Callithrix jacchus: one gene and its partners. The protein of the gene in region 1 interacts with the protein of each later gene in a pairwise test. Links are inferred from orthologs where the notes say so. Each region holds a gene or a part of one and is shown in the gene's direction. Other genes may lie near its edges.

Region 1 (5,365 bases):
GGGCAAGAGGCAGCAATTCAATTGCTAAAATTACTAAAGAAAATGGGAGACTGCTCTGGAAGCTAAGTGATACAGATATGAAACTGAGTATATGTAATTACTATAGTTCCCTAAAAATCATAGAACATATACAAACATAATCATTTGATTTTAGATAATTTTCAAGTCCATCTCTCCATGCTACAAGTCATAGCACAGTCTACCTCTAGAAAGAATACTATATTGTAATAAATTACCCAGTTAAGACCTGGAATACTTTGCAAACTCAATAGAAGATAGAAAAGTTAGTTTCCACGATATTGCAATAAGATGGTAATAGTATTAATACTAACATATTAATACTGGAGTATACATGAAGTATTAATACCATATTTTAATATTTAACATGTTTTGATTATAGAATCAGTAGAATACTTTCTTTTTAAAAATTTTTTTCGGCCAGGCGCGGTGGTTCATGCCTATAATCCCAGCACTTTGGGAGGCCGAGGCGGGCAGATCATGTCAGGATATCGAGACCATCCTGGCCATGATGAAACCCCATCTCTACTGAAACAGAAAAAGTTAGCCAGGTGTGGGGGCAGGCGCCTGTAGTCCCAACTACTCAGGAGACTGAGGCAGGGGAATTGCTTGAATCCGGGAGACAGATGTTGTAGTCAGCTGAGATTGTGCCACTGTACTCCAGGGAAAGAGCAAGACTCCGTCTCAAAAAAAAAAAAAAAAATGTATATATATATATATATATATACATACACACACACATACATACATATATATACACACATACATATATATATGTATATTTTGTTTGTTTTTGTTTTTCTGTATAGAGACTAGGTCTCACTGTGTTGCCCAGGCTGATCTCGAACTTCTGGGCTCAAGCGATCCTCCCGCCTCGGCCTGCCGAAGTGCTGGGATTACAGGCGTGAGCCACCGCGCCCGGCCTAATGGAATACTTTCAACCGTGCTTCTGTATTGACCTTCCATGTTCCAACCCATCCACAATTGCAGCCAAAATGATGTTACTAAAGTAAAAACTTGGGAGAAAGCTTCTGGAAGGAGCAGAAGCTGTGGAGTCCAAAGAACCTGTGTTCCTATCCTTTTTGTGCCACTTGACACGTTCCGCACAAGGGTCCCTACAGTGTTCGTTCACCGTCTTCGGCAATCAGGATGACTCCCTGAAGGGCTGTCAAACGAAGCAAACTCGCAAACTGAGACAATTCCATTGTTTACGTAACTTTGGCCAAATCCACTCCTTCCTACGAAATATCCAGCTCACAGAGCCGGCTGAGATGCTTTCTTGCTTTAATTCTTTGAAGAGTCACAGGTGTCCATTTTACACGTGCGGCTGAAGACTGGATTTCAGAAGGCCCTCCCTCCCGCCGCGTTCACCTAGTAACCCCAGCTTGGGGATAAGGACCTGTAGCCTCAGTGCGACCCGGAAAGTGAATCCGCCCTTCTAGCCTCCTTCGCACCAATCGCCCGGAGCTGGCGTTTCCGCAGCCGGGGTAGAACCCACCCTTTAAGAGCTGCCGAGTCGGGTACCGGAGAAGAGGTTGCGCGTGCGCAGTGGAGTCGGCTGCCCTTCCGGTGCGCCGGGCGCGGACGCGGGCACGCACATACGCACGCACGACTCCACTTACTCGCGCCGCCGCTGCAGCTCCAGCGTTCACTAGTGCCGCCGTCCGCTCCACCGAGATGCTGCGGGTCTGTCAGTTATCGGGTGTGACCGCCGCCGCCCAGGTGAGCACTGGGGCTACCGAGGGCGTGTGAGGAAGCTGACCTAAGACCGTCAGCGGCAAACTGGGGAGTCTTGGACGCTGCCTCGCTTCCAGGACAGAGGCGAGTCTTAGGGCCAACCTTGTTGGGAGAGGCCCGGGCTGGCAGTGAGGCAGCCACCAGAGAGTTCGCCGGAGTGGGATGACTTGAGGTTATTGCCACAGCAGGGTGGGGTGTGGAGAGTAGCGGGAGGCGCGGCTTCGCGGGCGTGCCATCCAATCAGCGCCGCGCTGCCCCCATCCAGGACCAATCCTGGCTGCTGTCGTCTGGGTCGCCGGTTGGGCGCGCGATAGGTTTCCACGGCTGAAGGTCGCCGCGGGAGAACTACAGTTCCCGGCAGGAGGAGCGGAGCCGCGGCTTGTTGCATCCTTGATCAGGAGGTTCTTGGACTTCTAGAGAGAGTCCACATTTTAGGGGTCAAGTTTATAATTATCTGGAGGGGACTGTCTTTTCGCATCTGAGAACACCTCTGAACTGCTATTCGTAATTCAAACAAAAGCGAAAGATGAAATTCCTTTGTGGAGCTGAAACTCCTGGTAAGGAAAGACAGGAGTCATGACCTTGTGGCTCATTTCTGAGATTAGGACAGGGATCTGTGTCTCCAGGCGCTAAGACTACTTTGACATTCAAGGAGCCAAAACACCCAGTTGCTTTTAGTTTTACGTAGTAACCAAAGTTACTTTCTAAAATTGAAAATAAACCTGTTTGCATTGCTCATGATTTTCAGAAAGTTGATATTTTGGCAAAATGTTGTAGATAGTAAAACAAGTACTGTGACTCAAGCAGTAATTGAACAGAATCTCCAGGAATAGTGAGTTAGAGATCATAAAAGTCAAGCTTTGTTTTTTCAAGTTCGCTTCTCTTTCTATTTGCTGCTAGGGTAAGAGAAGCAGCCCCTTCCATAGGAAAGTGGAACGAACCTGTGTTAGTCTTCTATTGCTATGTAACAACACAAATTTTGCAGCTTGAAACAACACCCGTGAATGACTCCTACACTTTCTGTAGGAGTCTGGGCATGGATGATCTGGGTTCTCTGCTCAGGGTCACACAGGGCTGCAAAGTATTAGCCATGCTGTGGTTCTCTTGGAGATCAGGGTCCTCTTCCAGGCTCATGCAGTCTGTTGGCAGAATTCAATCCCTTGCAGTTACAGGACTGAAGTCCCTCTTTTCTTGCTGCCTCTTGCCAGCCACTGCTCACAGCTTCCATAGCAAGGCCTCCAGAGGCCATTGGTAGCACGGATGTTTGCTTTCGTGCAAGCTACCAGGAGCTTGTCTCTCTGACTTCCAAATTTCTTTTACTTCCGTCTTTCCTCTCTAGACCCAGATTTAAAAGGCTTATGTGATTAGACCAGACCCACCTGAATGACCTCCTTTTCAGTTAATTCAGTCAACTTTTTGGGATCCCATTTGGGGAATAAGAAGACTAATTAAAACTTGGTAATAAAAAATGTACCCTTTTATAGCTCTAAGTCAAGATGTCTAAGCTTCCTGAAATTGCTATCTTATCAACTCTCAGAACTTTAATCCCCAAGCAGATGACTCTGTAGCCTCATCATATTTGATTTTGTCAACTTATCCAGAATATTCCACTTGTCAAGATCCTTTCCACTTTATTAAACTCCATCATCTTTTTTTTTTTTTTGATACAGAGTCTCACTTTGTCACCCAGGCTTGAGTGCGGTGGGATGATCATGGCTCACTGCAGCCTTGACCTCCCGAGTGCAGGGGATCCTCTTACCTCAGCCTCCTGAGCAGCTGGGACCACAGGCATGTGCCACCATCCCTGGCTAATTTTTAAAAAAAATATTGTAGAGATGGGGTCTTTCTGTGTTGCCCAGGCTGGTCTCAAACTCCTTGGCTCAAATGATCCTCCCACTTCTGCCTCCTAAAATGGCTGGGATTATAGGTGTGCGCCACTGTGCCCAGCAACCCCATCTTAAATGTCTTACTGCTTTTACTATTTCATCCTAGTGTCCATTGTTTAGGAGGGAGTAGTAAAACCAGTAAGACATTTAGTTAGTAAAAGACTTTTTAAAAGGCAAACATGATGTCATGTCCTTTAGAGACATCCCATCACGTTCAGAATAACATTTAAACTGTCTGCTGTGGGCCCTTGATCTGACTCTTCTCATATTTCATTTTTCTACTGCCTCACTCAGATTCTCCTGGTAATCTCCAGCATGTACCTCACTCCCTTTTCATTAGGTGTTTCTTTTGCCCTGGGCTCTACTCACACGTTTGCTTAGCTTATTACCTTCAGTTATTTTCTCAAATGTCACCTTCCCTTCAGAGAGGGCATCCCGATCCAAAATAGTATTCTGATTACTCTTGCCTTCCTTGCATCACCTGTATTTTTATCCCATCCTACTTTATTATGCTTTGTAGCTCCTAGCACTACCTGATGTTATAATGTGCATTGCACAGTCACCTTTAAAACGTAAACTCCACAATGGAACTGTGTCCATATAGTTTGCTGCTATATTTCCAGTACTAACAATAGTCCCTGGCTCTGAGTGGATGCTCATATATATGTTTATGACATATATAAATGAATGAATGAATATAATGTGTTCATTAATTTTTTTTTTTTTTTTTTTTTGAGACAGAGTCTCACTCTTTCGCCAGACTGGAATGCGGTGGTGCGATCTTGGCTCACTGCACCCTCTGCCTCCCGGGTTCAAGTGATTCTCCTGCCTTAGCCTCCTAAGTAGCCACCACGCCCAGCTAATTTTTGTATTTTTAGTAGAGACAGGGTTTCGCCATGTTGACCAGGATGATCTCTATCTCTTGACATCTTGATCCGCCCACCTCGGCTTCCCAAAGTGCTGGGATTACAGACGTGAGCCACTGCGCCCGGCTTTTTTTTTTTTTTAATTAAAAAAAGTGTTTTAGACATGGGGTCTCACTGTGTTTCCCAGGCTTGTCTTCACTCCTAGGCTCAAGTGATATGCCTGCCTCAGCCTCCCAAAGTGGAATTTTTCTTAATCGCTGTCAGTGGATGTGACCTCCCTTTAAACATCCTATAGATTTTCAAACCTCTGATTATATATTAGGGTTCTCCAGAGAAAAAGAAACAAGAGGGTGTGTGTGTGTGTGTGTGTGTGTGTGTGTGTGTGTGTGTATTGAGATAGGGTCTCATTCTGTTGCCCAGGCTGGAGTACAGCAGCATGATAATAATTCATTTCAGTTTTGATCAACTGGGCTTAAGCTATCCTCCCACCTCACCTGAGTAGCAGGGACTCAGGCTCACACCACCATGCCCAGCTAGTGTTTTGGACTTTTAGTAGAGATGGGATCCCCCTGCCTTGTCCTCCCAAAAGTGCTGGGATTACAGGAATGAGCCATAGTGCCCAGCCCAGGAAGATTTGTTATAAGGACTCCACTCATGCAGTTATAGAGGCTGGCAAGTCCAGAATCTGCTGTGTGGGTTGGCAGGTTGGAGACCTAGGAGAGCCAATATTGCAATTTCAGTCCAATGGCTAGCAGCCTGGAGACCCAGGAGAGTGGATGGTGCAGTTTCAGTCTGGAGGCAGTCTGCTAGAGAACTGCTTCTTGGATTTTGTTGTGTTTGAGCCTTAAACTGATTGAT
Region 2 (5,429 bases), on another chromosome or scaffold:
AGTTGAGGTCAGGTGTTCGAGACCAGCCTGGCTAAAATGCCAAAACTCCATCCCTACTGAAAATACAAAAATTAGCCAGGCGTAGTGGTGAGTACCTGTAATTCCAGTTACTCAGGAGGCTGAAACAGGAGAAACACTAGAACTTAGGAGGCGGAGGTTGCCGTGAGCCTAGATCATGCCACCGTACTCCAGCCTGGGCGATAGAGCGAGACTCCATCACAAAAAAAAAAAGAAAAAAAGGACAACAATGAAAAAGACTGCTAATACCAGATGTTGGCAGGGATATGGAGCAACCTGGGATTCAACATATTGCTAGTGGGAATGAATGATGATGTAGCCACTTTAAAACCAGTATGGTAGTATTTGTAGAGTTAAACATGTACTTACCACACAACCCAACAATTCCAATACAATAGAAATGAAAACTTTCACAAAGACTTATAAGTGAATGGTCATAGCAGCATTTTTTTTTTCTTTTTGAGACGGAGTCTCACTCTGTCACCCAGGTTGGAGTGCAGTGGTGTGATCCCGGCCCACTGCAACCTCTGCCTCCCAGATTCAACCATTTCTTCTGTCTCAGCCTCCTGAGTAGCTGAAATTACAGGCACACATTACCATGACTGGCTAATATTTGAATTTTTAGTAGAGACTGGGTTTCACTACGTTGGCCAGGCTGATCTTGAACCCCTGACCTCAAGTGATCCACCCACCTTGGCCTCCCAAAGTGCTGGGATTACAGGTGTGAGCCACCGTGCCTGGCCAGCAGAATTGTTCACAAAAAATAAAAAACCGAAAGCAACCCAAATGTCCATCAACTGATGAATAAACAAATTATACTACGGAATACCATTCAGCCACAAAAAGGAACGGCAAAAATATTACAAGAGAAATAATAAAATACAAAAGACTATGTGCTACATGATTGCATTTATATGAAATTCTAGAAGAAGCAAAATTACAGTGACAGAAACCAGATTAGTGGTTGCCTGGAACTCGGGTGGGGAAGGAGATAGGCTGCAAATAAGCAGCAAGAAGTCTTTGAGGGCGCAGGGACAGTTGTATATTTTGACTGTGGTGGTGGTCACATAATTAGAAATAATTACCAAGCTGTACCAACCTGCATACTTAAAATGCATGAATTTTATTGTATGTAAATAATAAAATACAAATTTTAGGCAAAAGAGACCCCCACATCTAGATATACCACGTGCAGACTTCTGGTAAACCAATAATATAAATAAAATCTTGAAGGCTGCCAGAAACACAATAGACAGAACAAAGAATTACAGAAGACTTTTTTTCTTTGAGACGGAGTTTCACTCTTGTTGCCCAGGCTAGAGTGTAATAGTGATCTCGGCTGATTGCAACCTCCGTCTCCCAGGTTCAAGTGATTCTCCTGGCTCAGCCTCCCGAGTAGCTGGTACTGCAGGCATGCGCCACCATGCCCACCCGGCTAATTTTATATTTTTAGTACAGACGGGGTTTCTCCATGTTGGTCAGGCTGGTCTTGAACTCGTGACCTCAGGTGCCCACCTCGGCTTCCCAAGGTGCTGGGATTACAGGCGTGAGCCACAACGCCTGGCTGTATGGAAGATTTTTATTCTGAACCTATGCAAGCCAGAAGTCAATGGGGTAACATCCTTAAAGTACGGAAAAAAAAAAACAAAACCCAGTCAAGTTAGAATTTTATACTTTTTGTTTGTTTGTTTTTAAAGACAGAGTTTTGCTGTGTTGCCCAGGCTGGGGTGCGGTGGCGCGACTTCGGCTCACTGCAGTCTCTGGCCCCCGGGGTTCAAGCGATTCCTCAGCCTTCCAAGTAGTTGGGGTTACAGGCACACACCACCACGACCGGCTGATTTTTGTATTTTCAGTAGAGACGGGGTTTCACCATGTTGGCCAGGATGGTCTCGATCTCTTGACCTACTGATCCGCCCGCCTGGGCCTCCCAAAGTGCTGGGATTACAGGCGTGAGCCACCGCGCCCGGCCAGGACAGTCTATTTTCCATTCCGTGTGTTTTGGGATAACAGCTCCATCCCCTCCGATGAACCAGTGCCCGCGAAAGCCCTTGAGATTTGGGAAGCAGGCGGCCCAGATCTTGGTTTACCCCGCTGTGCATCAGTCCTCAGGCGGTGGCCTCTAAGGCGAGCCAACACCCACTTCGCGAGGCCGTCGCTCCGCATTGGAGGGGCGAGGCGCGGGACCCCGGACCACCTTCCCCCGCCCCGCCGCGCCCCCCTCGTCTGCGCACGCGCGGACGCCCCCCCGCCCCCCCCCCTCCGGCGGAATCCCCCTCTTGTTTGCGCCGGCGCAGGACGGTAGACGCGGATGGGGCGCCGCGGCGCGTCCGTTGCTAAGGCCGCGCAGCCCTAGCGACCGAACGCCTTGCGGCTTCCGCGCAGGCGCCGTGGCGGGCTCCGGTGCACTGTGGGATGGAAACCGTAGCGGCGCGTCCTGGCGGGACCGGGCTGTGGCTGCGGGGCGGGCGACGGCGGCGGGGCAGGCGGCGGCCAGGGACCCGGGCTTAGGCTCGGCCGGGTCGGCTGAGGGGCGTGGGCAGCGGAGGCTGCCATGAATTCGGCGGTGGTGAGGCGGACGCAGGAGGCGCTGGGGAAGGTGATCCGGAGGCCGCCGCTGACGGAGAAGCTGCTGAGCAAGCCCCCGTTCCGCTACCTGCACGACATCATCACCGAGGTGGGCGCCGGGGGCCGCGCCGGGCCAGGGGCGGGTCGGGGTCCCGGTGGGCGCCGGGTGTTAGCCAGGGTCGGGGGCCGGGGCTGGGCCGGGGTCAGGGCCCGGGCCGGGCTCGAGGTGCAGGTAGGGGACCAGGTCAGGGCCGAGTGTGGACCCGGTGTGGGCCGGGGTCGGGGTGCAGGTCGGGGACCGGGTCAGGGCCGGGCGCGGGGTGCGGTTAGGGGGCTGCAGTCAGTCCCGGGGTCGGGGCCAGAGCTCTGTGCAGCCCCTGCCCCGGAGCCCGGCCTGTAGGCCCAATTCCGCGGCGCCCTCCTCGCGGACGTCTGACCCCTTCCCCCGCTCCCGGCCGCTTACAGGGAGGCTCCGGGCCCTCGGGGAGCATTCTTAACTTCTTCCCTGCCTGTCCGTGTATCTCTTTAGAGCGCATCTTCCATTCTGCTCCCTCCTTGTGTAACCCTGGGGAACCCCTCTCGCTTGCGCTGGAGCATGTAACACATGGAAGGCGCTCCCTAAATCCTGGGACAATGGAAATAATATTTTTTGTACAACTCTCCTGCCTCAAAGCTGCCCTCCATACCCTATTTTGGGTGCTTGATAAATGTCTGTGGGTGAATTTAGTGGAGGTGGTTGTGGGGAGACTTGGTAGGAACAGCTGTAACAGAGCCGCATAGCCTGCCCTAAATTGAAGATTGGTGGTCTGTGTGGCTTTTCCCCGCTTGCGGGTGGCGTGCTCCTTAGTGACGGAGACCCTGCTTGTCAGCATGGCTCTGGTGATCTGCCCTGGATCAGGTACATAGAAATTCACAGCAAACATCCCCTGTTGCGTGGGACCTGTCACGGCTCCGGGTAACTCCCTGGTAACTCTCAGGAGCGTCACTGCAGGGGGTGCAGCACCCATTTGCAGGGTGCACCCAAGGGCACATGGGAACTCAGAGGTGTGTTCTGGGATTGAGGATTCAGGTCGGACTTGGAGACTTCCGGGGGCTCATGAGCTAACCTGGTGATGGGCCTTAAGCTCCAGTTCTCACTCTTTTCTACAGGTTGGGTGCCGTATTCTTACACAGACATCGCTCTTCTGGTTCTGCCCTCCTACCTTGGCTTCCAGTGTACGCTCTCCTGGAGCCTGTGCCTCTGTGTTAAGACAGTGCTTAAAAATGCTCTTGAATCCACCCACATCCCAGGGCACCGCCAGCCCTGGTTATGTCCTCCCAACTGGTGCAGCACTTACAGCTTGTCCTGGGCAGTGTGTGGGGAGGGGACCTGCCGTGTGGATAGGCTTGTAGGAGCAGGACAGTGCACATGTCACTCCTGTGAAGTAGGCAGGGCCTACGTCCTCTGCCCCAGAGGAAACAAGTAAGAGCCAATGTGAGCCCAACCCACCACAGCTGTGGCTGCCAAAACCTTTAATCTTCTCCCAGTCCTGCCTGCCCCACTGAAATGCAGAGCCCTAGGAGTGAGGTGCAGGGAGTGTGTCTTATCCTTGTGGGGTAGTGGTGCAGCTCAGCTCTTGGTGACGGTCCAGTCACTACTGCATAGCTGGTCAGAGGCATCCTCGTGGGAAAGGGCCACCCGGGGGCGGCTCACACCTGCAATCCCAGCACTCTGGAAGGCCACAGTAGGCAGATCACTTCGGCCCAGGAGTTCAAGACCAGCCTGGCCAACATGGCAAAACTCCAGCTCTACGAAGAATACAAAAATTAGCCGAGTGTCGTGGTGCACCTGTAATCCCAGCTACTCAGGAAGCTGAGTAGGGAGAATCGCTTGAGCTCAGGAGGTTGAGGCTGCAGTGAGCTGTGATTGCACCAGTGCACTCCAGCCGGTGTGACAGAGTAAGACCCTGTCTCAAAAAAATAAATAAATAAATAAAAGGATCGCCTTCCTGGCCAGGTGGCTAGGGTGTGGGACTAGTTGTGTGTTCCCAATTAGGAATGACTGGTCTGCTCTACTCCCAGAGACTTCCTCATTTATGCCAAAGTTCGTTTTTCTTCTTGTGTAAAGATCAATACAGGAATTGTCACCTACTTGATAAAGAGGCTAGAATGACTGACATATTGGAAAGCATTTTGAGATAATAGGTGGAAAGGGTCTTATGAAAATGCTTTATTATCCTAAATATTATACTCAAATCACCATATTAGTATTTAAGCTACAGCTAAACTAACCATCCCTTTCATTAAGCTAAGTGTGGATCCTGTGATATTAATGTCTCTTGTCACTTACAGTTATTGCTCACAATTTTTTTTTTTTTTTAGAGGGAGTCTTGCTCTGTCACCCAGGCTGGAGTGCAGTGGCACGATCTCGACTCACTGCAACCTCCACCTCCTGGGTTCAAATTATTCTCCTGTCTCAGCCTCCCGAGTAGCTGGGACTACAGGCACATGCCACTATACCCAGTGTTAACTTTTGTATTTTTAGTAGAGATGGGGTTTTGCCACATTGGCCAGGTTGATCTTGAACCCCTGACCTCAAGTGATCCACCCACCTTGGCCTCCCAAAGTGCTGGGATTACAGGTGTGAGCCTCTGTGCCCAGCCAAAGTTCCTTTTCTTTTTGGAATCTGTTCCCTCCACTGCACCTGAAGGATTCTTGTAAAATGCTGTGTGGCCAGGCCCTTTCCTGCTTTAGAATTGTCCATGTCCTCTTCGTGGTCCTTGGGCTCAGTTCATGTCCCTGAGTGGCTTCAAGGGCCTCTGCACCAGGCCCCGAGTGTCTCTCTGGCCTCAGGCTCCTGCCATCCT
Region 3 (5,329 bases), on another chromosome or scaffold:
TAAGGTACAAATTTGACAGCATGTGAAAGTCATTCCGGGCACTTCAACAAGAATATCCAAGAACTGTTTATCTCCAGTACATAAGGGTCAGAGTTGGCCTGATATGTGTGGATGAAGATCATGATGCAATTCTTTTGTCAGTGCTTTGCATTTTTTCTCACTCTCTTTTTGATCTTCCTCTTAAAAATATTTATATTTTGAATATTACTATAGACAGTAGAATGGAAAGGTTCCTGAACTAAGAGGTTAGAAGGAATGGATTTAAATACCTGCCTTTTCCCCAAAAGTGGCTTGTGCAAGCCACTTTTATCTCTTAGCTCATTTAGTTATGTAATTTTTTTTTTTTATTATTCAAGGAGTCTTGCTCGTCACCCGGGCTAGAGGGCAGTGGCACGATCTCAGCTCACTGCAACCTCCGCCTCCTGGGTTCAGGTGATTCTCCTGCCTCAGCCTCCCGTATAGCTGCGACTGCAGGTGCCCGTCACCGTGCCCGTCACCATGCCCAGCTAATATTTGTATTTTTAGTAGAGACGGGGTTTCACCATACTGGCCAGACAGGTCTTAAACTCCTGACATTGTGATCTGCCCACCTCAGCCTCCCAAAGTGTTGGGATTACAGGCGTGAGCCACCACACCCAGCCTAATTACTTAATTTGTAAATTGTGGATGATGAAACTGCCAACGCTAACTCACGGGATTATTGAGAAGCATAAATGAGATTTATCATTATATTTCCTCATTAATATTCTTATATTCATATTCCCATGTAATATTTCAAACTAATGTGAGAAAGTGCTTTGAACCTAATTGTGCAATACAAATGTGAGTTGTTACTTTTATGGTTCTTGTTTTAAATTTCTGGATTTCATCCTTGACTGTTGCATTTATTTCTTTTATTAATCCTTGAGTACTTGACCTTTGTTTTTTTTTGAGATGGAATCTTGCTCTGTTACCCCGGCTGGAGTGCAGTGGCGCAGTCTCGGCTCACTGCAGTCTCTGCCTCCTGGGTTCAAACGATTTCCTCTGCCTCAGCCTCCCGAGTAGCTGGGACTATAGGTGCGCACCATCATGCCCAGCTAATTTTTTGTATTTTAGTAGAGACGGGTTTTCACCATGTTGGCCAGGATGGTCTTGATCTTCTGAACTTGTGATCTGCCTGCCTCAGCCTCCTAAAGTGCTGGATTACAGGTGTGAGTTACTACACCTGACCAAGTACTTGCCACTTAATATGGTTATTGTTTAACGTGCATTGTTTTGCATCACGCTGATGTATCTTCTGATGATTGTAAATTGAGTATCTAGTATAGTGTCTTGATTATTTACAATTATGTTGACTTTTATTGATGTTTGCTTTGGTAAATTCCACAGCTTTGTCTCTGGCTAGCATGTTTTGTTCTAATATATTTGGATTTGACATAAATGTTTTCTGTAAAATGTTTTACCTATTAAGACATGGACTTGTTTTTATTAGGCCTTCACAGAGCTTCAAGCCAAAGTTATCGACACTCAACAGAAGGTGAAGCTGGCAGACATACAGATTGAACAGCTAAACAGAACGAAAAAGCATGCACATCTTACAGATACAGAGATCATGACTTTGGTAGATGAGACTAACATGTATGAAGGTGTAGGAAGAATGTAAGTAAAGTATGTCCTTAATAGAGTTATTTTGGGAGTGCTTTTCTCTGAATTAAATAGAATTTGTTCATCCTAAAACTTGAGTTAGGCCGGGCACAGTGGCTGAAGCCTGTAATCACAGCATTTGGGGAGACTGAGGGGGGTGGATCATTTGAGGGCAGCCTGGCCAATATGGTGAAACCCTGTGACTACCACAGATACAAAGAATAGCTGAGCATGTTGGCACTTGCCTGTACTTCCAGCTACTTGGGAGGCTGAGGCAGGAGAGTTGCTTGAACCTGGGAGGTGGAGGTTGCAGTGAGCTGAGATCGTGCCACTGCCCTCCAGCCTGGGCAACAGAGGTAGCTGTGTACAAAACGAAACAAAGCAAAGCAAAACCTGGATTAAAGTATCGTAGAAATAACTTTATAGATTATTTAATTAAGTGCCTTCTTTTTTTCAGATGAGGAGCTGAACCTCAGTAGATTAGTGAAAGTGTTTAATGTTAGACTTTGAAGTATATTTCTTAAGTGCTTACCTCCCTCTTCTGTCTATGATTAGGTACTTAAGTGTGTAAGTTCAGTAATAAAAATATGATTCATTGTGGAAAATGGTTATAGTAATTTGATATTGTAGGTGAAGATTTATTTAAGTAGGTTTAGTTTTAACCTCCTCTTCCCTACTCAATTTATTAGGAGTGATACAAATCATAAATCTTTCAGATGTCTGATCACGGTTGTAAAAGAAAAATAAATATTCAGTTGTCATTTAAATACATTCATTCTGGCTGGGTGTGTTGGCTCGTGCCTGCAATCCCAGCACTTTGGGAGGCTGAGGTGGGTGGATTCCCTGAGATTAGGAGTTAGAAACCAGCCTGGCCAACGTGGTAAAACCCCACCTCTACAAAAATACAAAAATTAGCCAGGCATGGTGGCGCACACCTGTAATCCCAATTGCTTGGAAGACTGAGGCAGGAGAACCACTTGAATCGGGGAGGTGGAGGTTGCAGTGAGCCAAGATTGTACCATTGCACTCTAGCCTGGGCAACAAGAGTGAAACTCCGTCTCAAAAAACAAACAAAAAATACACTCATTCTGTGTGTCATGTGTTCTAATAGGAGGACAACTCACATTTGAGAAATCTAATAAATCATTTTACTTTTTGCTTGTTCTAATTATTATACAATTAACTATGTACATTTCACTTTTTTTTCTTTTAAAAACATTACCCTTGTGAGAGAGACTAGGTCTGCTTCATATTCTTTAAGCAGAAAAAAAGGAATGGAAAAGCCCTTAAGTACAGGTCACATTCCATTACAGTGAGCTAAAAGGAGAAGACTGATTTTTTTTTTTAAGTTGGGGGGAGGTACAAGAGGAGGGTTTTTCTGGAATTTGGTCTTTGAGAATTTACTTAGTAAGTGGACCATTACTTCAGGTTTGGAGATCTTTTAGTTAGAATGGAATTTGACCTCAGTCTTGGGATGACTTGTTTTGTGATTGATTTGAAGGAAGAATAACATGTGTAAAATTTAATAATGGCTTTGAAATGACATCATGAGAAGTAGACCCTGCTCATTCACTGACTAATCCATATCTTTATGGTTCGGAATTAGATTATGTTAAATTGTTCATCTGATTTGCTTTCTCAGAATGAATAATATAGCACAAGGAAATTTTATCTCCAAGCTCATATATTTCATTTTAGTTTGTTTTGAGAGGATAAGGATCCCAATTTGAAAGTTTGTTACTGGGACACAAAAGAATTGGGATGAGAACAAAGTAGAACCCTGGAATATGTGTCTGTGTAGTATGAAATACATTGTTGGCATTCACTACAGGATAATTTTATCCTTAATGTGAATATCCTTAGGTCTTAAAACAGTAATGCTAGCTTTTCTAGTATGCCTGTTAACATGTTGTACTTGGATTTCACATCACTGCACTAGCCTTTGTTTGCAATAGCTAAAGAATTCCTTTTTCAAAATAGAAAAACTCTTTCACACTCTGGCCTTTTGAACTACAGTGAATTTTTAATTTTAATTAGAGGAGTTTCATTTATTAAATGTTCTGCAGAATGGATAGGAGAGTTGCTTTTTTGTACATATTGTCCAAAGTGCTACAGATAGGCTGTTTTCCATACAAAGAATTCTAGAGTTTAAAGGCTAGGATATGAATTAGTTAATGGTGGAATGGTATTATTTCCGGAAGGTTTATTTCCTATAAATTATGTTTCTTAAAAGAATTATGCAGTTTTAAATGTTTGGATAAAGTTGAGCTTCTACATGATTTCAGACTTCTGTTTTAAATTTGATTTTTGTACTTTCTGCATCTCACCGGGAGTATGAGTTTGACCCTGTGTTGTAGGGGCAAGTAAGGTGAATGGCGTTTGTTGTTTGGCTGGAGTATTAGTGCTCTGAGAGGAAGAAAAGACTTGCTGAGTATTAGTCTGGTCATGAGGATGTTCTCTTTCTTGATGCTAAACGTGAAATATCTATTTCTGAATTTATAGTCAAGTAATTTTGAGTATCATTGTGATTCAGGTCTTTAATTCTAGTCTTTACCTTAATTTGTTTTTTCTTTTCCTTTTGAGTGTTATATGGAAATTCTGATTAGAATATTACTTTTTCCCACATTTTTATTTTAAAACCACAGATAATAAAATCCCAAACTTTTTCTTTTAGAACCTGCAGTAGATTTTCCCGTGGCTGAAATTCAGGTCTCATTGTTTCTTGCCTAGGCTTTTGTGATAGCATCTTAACTGTTCTTTCTTCCTGCCTTCATTCTGTCTGTCCAAATCCATTCTTCACACATCTGGCAAAATTAATCACATCAATATTGTTCATAAAATCCTTTGTTCATCCTCTGTTGTCCACAGAATAAAATGTAAACTTGCTGGCCTTGCATTCATGGTTATTCATAATCTGTTCTTAATTACCCTTTGCCTCAGGTCTCACCACTTTCTTTTTCTAGGGTTGGCATAGCATGTGTATTTCAGCTCATGGACCTACCTCCTTCTACTAGTTTTGTGTTATGTATTGAGAAAAAATTTGAGGTGTCATATGGGTTTTAAACATGCTTTAGTTGATTAGTGATGTCTGTTTCACAGTGAGGGTAGAAGAGTAGTAGCACATGTACCAGAAATTGTTATCCTACCCTTGCCACATAGGTTTCCTCACACATGCTATGTTTTTGTGCTTTTTTGCTTTTGCTCAAGTCTTTGGCTGAATAACATTGCCCTTGGCTGGTAATATTCCCCTTTTCCTTGTGAAATTCTCATCCTTCAAGACATAGCTCAGATCTTACTTTGCCTTTGAAGATTTTTCCACCCCGTGGGGCAGACTCATTCACTCTTTCCTTGGCGATAGCAGGGCTTTTGTTCCTACAGCTAGTAAAGCACATTGAGTGTGTAGGTGTGTTTAAATGGGTCAGTCTTCCCAACCAGACTGTCAGCTCTGTGAGACCATATTTATATATATATGTATTATCTTTGTTTCTGCATTCCCAATGTAATGGTATAATGTCTGGCACAAAATAGCTGTTAAATGTGTATTGATTTGAATTGAACCTGATTCTTTTTTCTTGCCTAAAATAATGTTTTTTCTTCTGGTTTCTTAGAAAAAAAGTATTTTAGAAAGTGTCAGAGACTTAAGAGTGAGTGTATTATTTTGTTTTAATATATGATTCATATAAGATGAAATTATAAAAGTAATATA

The links.
Region 2: the proteins of IMMT (region 1) and TRAF3IP1 interact in a two-hybrid assay, tested with the Homo sapiens proteins (2 studies listed by BioGRID and IntAct). The link is inferred for Callithrix jacchus from reciprocal best matches to the Homo sapiens genes IMMT and TRAF3IP1.
Region 3: the proteins of IMMT (region 1) and PFDN1 interact in a two-hybrid assay, tested with the Homo sapiens proteins (2 studies listed by BioGRID and IntAct). The link is inferred for Callithrix jacchus from reciprocal best matches to the Homo sapiens genes IMMT and PFDN1.

Annotation. Positions count from the first base shown.
Region 1 is NC_133515.1:26,804,100-26,809,464, forward strand, and holds the start of IMMT (MICOS complex subunit MIC60), read left to right. Parts: upstream 1-1,578; 5' UTR 1,579-1,695; coding exon 1,696-1,740; intron 1,741-5,365. UniProt on the Homo sapiens protein: Component of the MICOS complex, a large protein complex of the mitochondrial inner membrane that plays crucial roles in the maintenance of crista junctions, inner membrane architecture, and formation of contact sites to the outer membrane.
Region 2 is NC_133507.1:159,641,091-159,646,519, forward strand, and holds the start of TRAF3IP1 (TRAF3-interacting protein 1), read left to right. Parts: upstream 1-2,417; 5' UTR 2,418-2,569; coding exon 2,570-2,692; intron 2,693-5,429.
Region 3 is NC_133503.1:38,671,040-38,676,368, reverse strand, and holds part of PFDN1 (prefoldin subunit 1), read left to right. Parts: intron 1-1,471; coding exon 1,472-1,638; intron 1,639-5,329. UniProt on the Homo sapiens protein: Binds specifically to cytosolic chaperonin (c-CPN) and transfers target proteins to it. Binds to nascent polypeptide chain and promotes folding in an environment in which there are many competing pathways for nonnative proteins.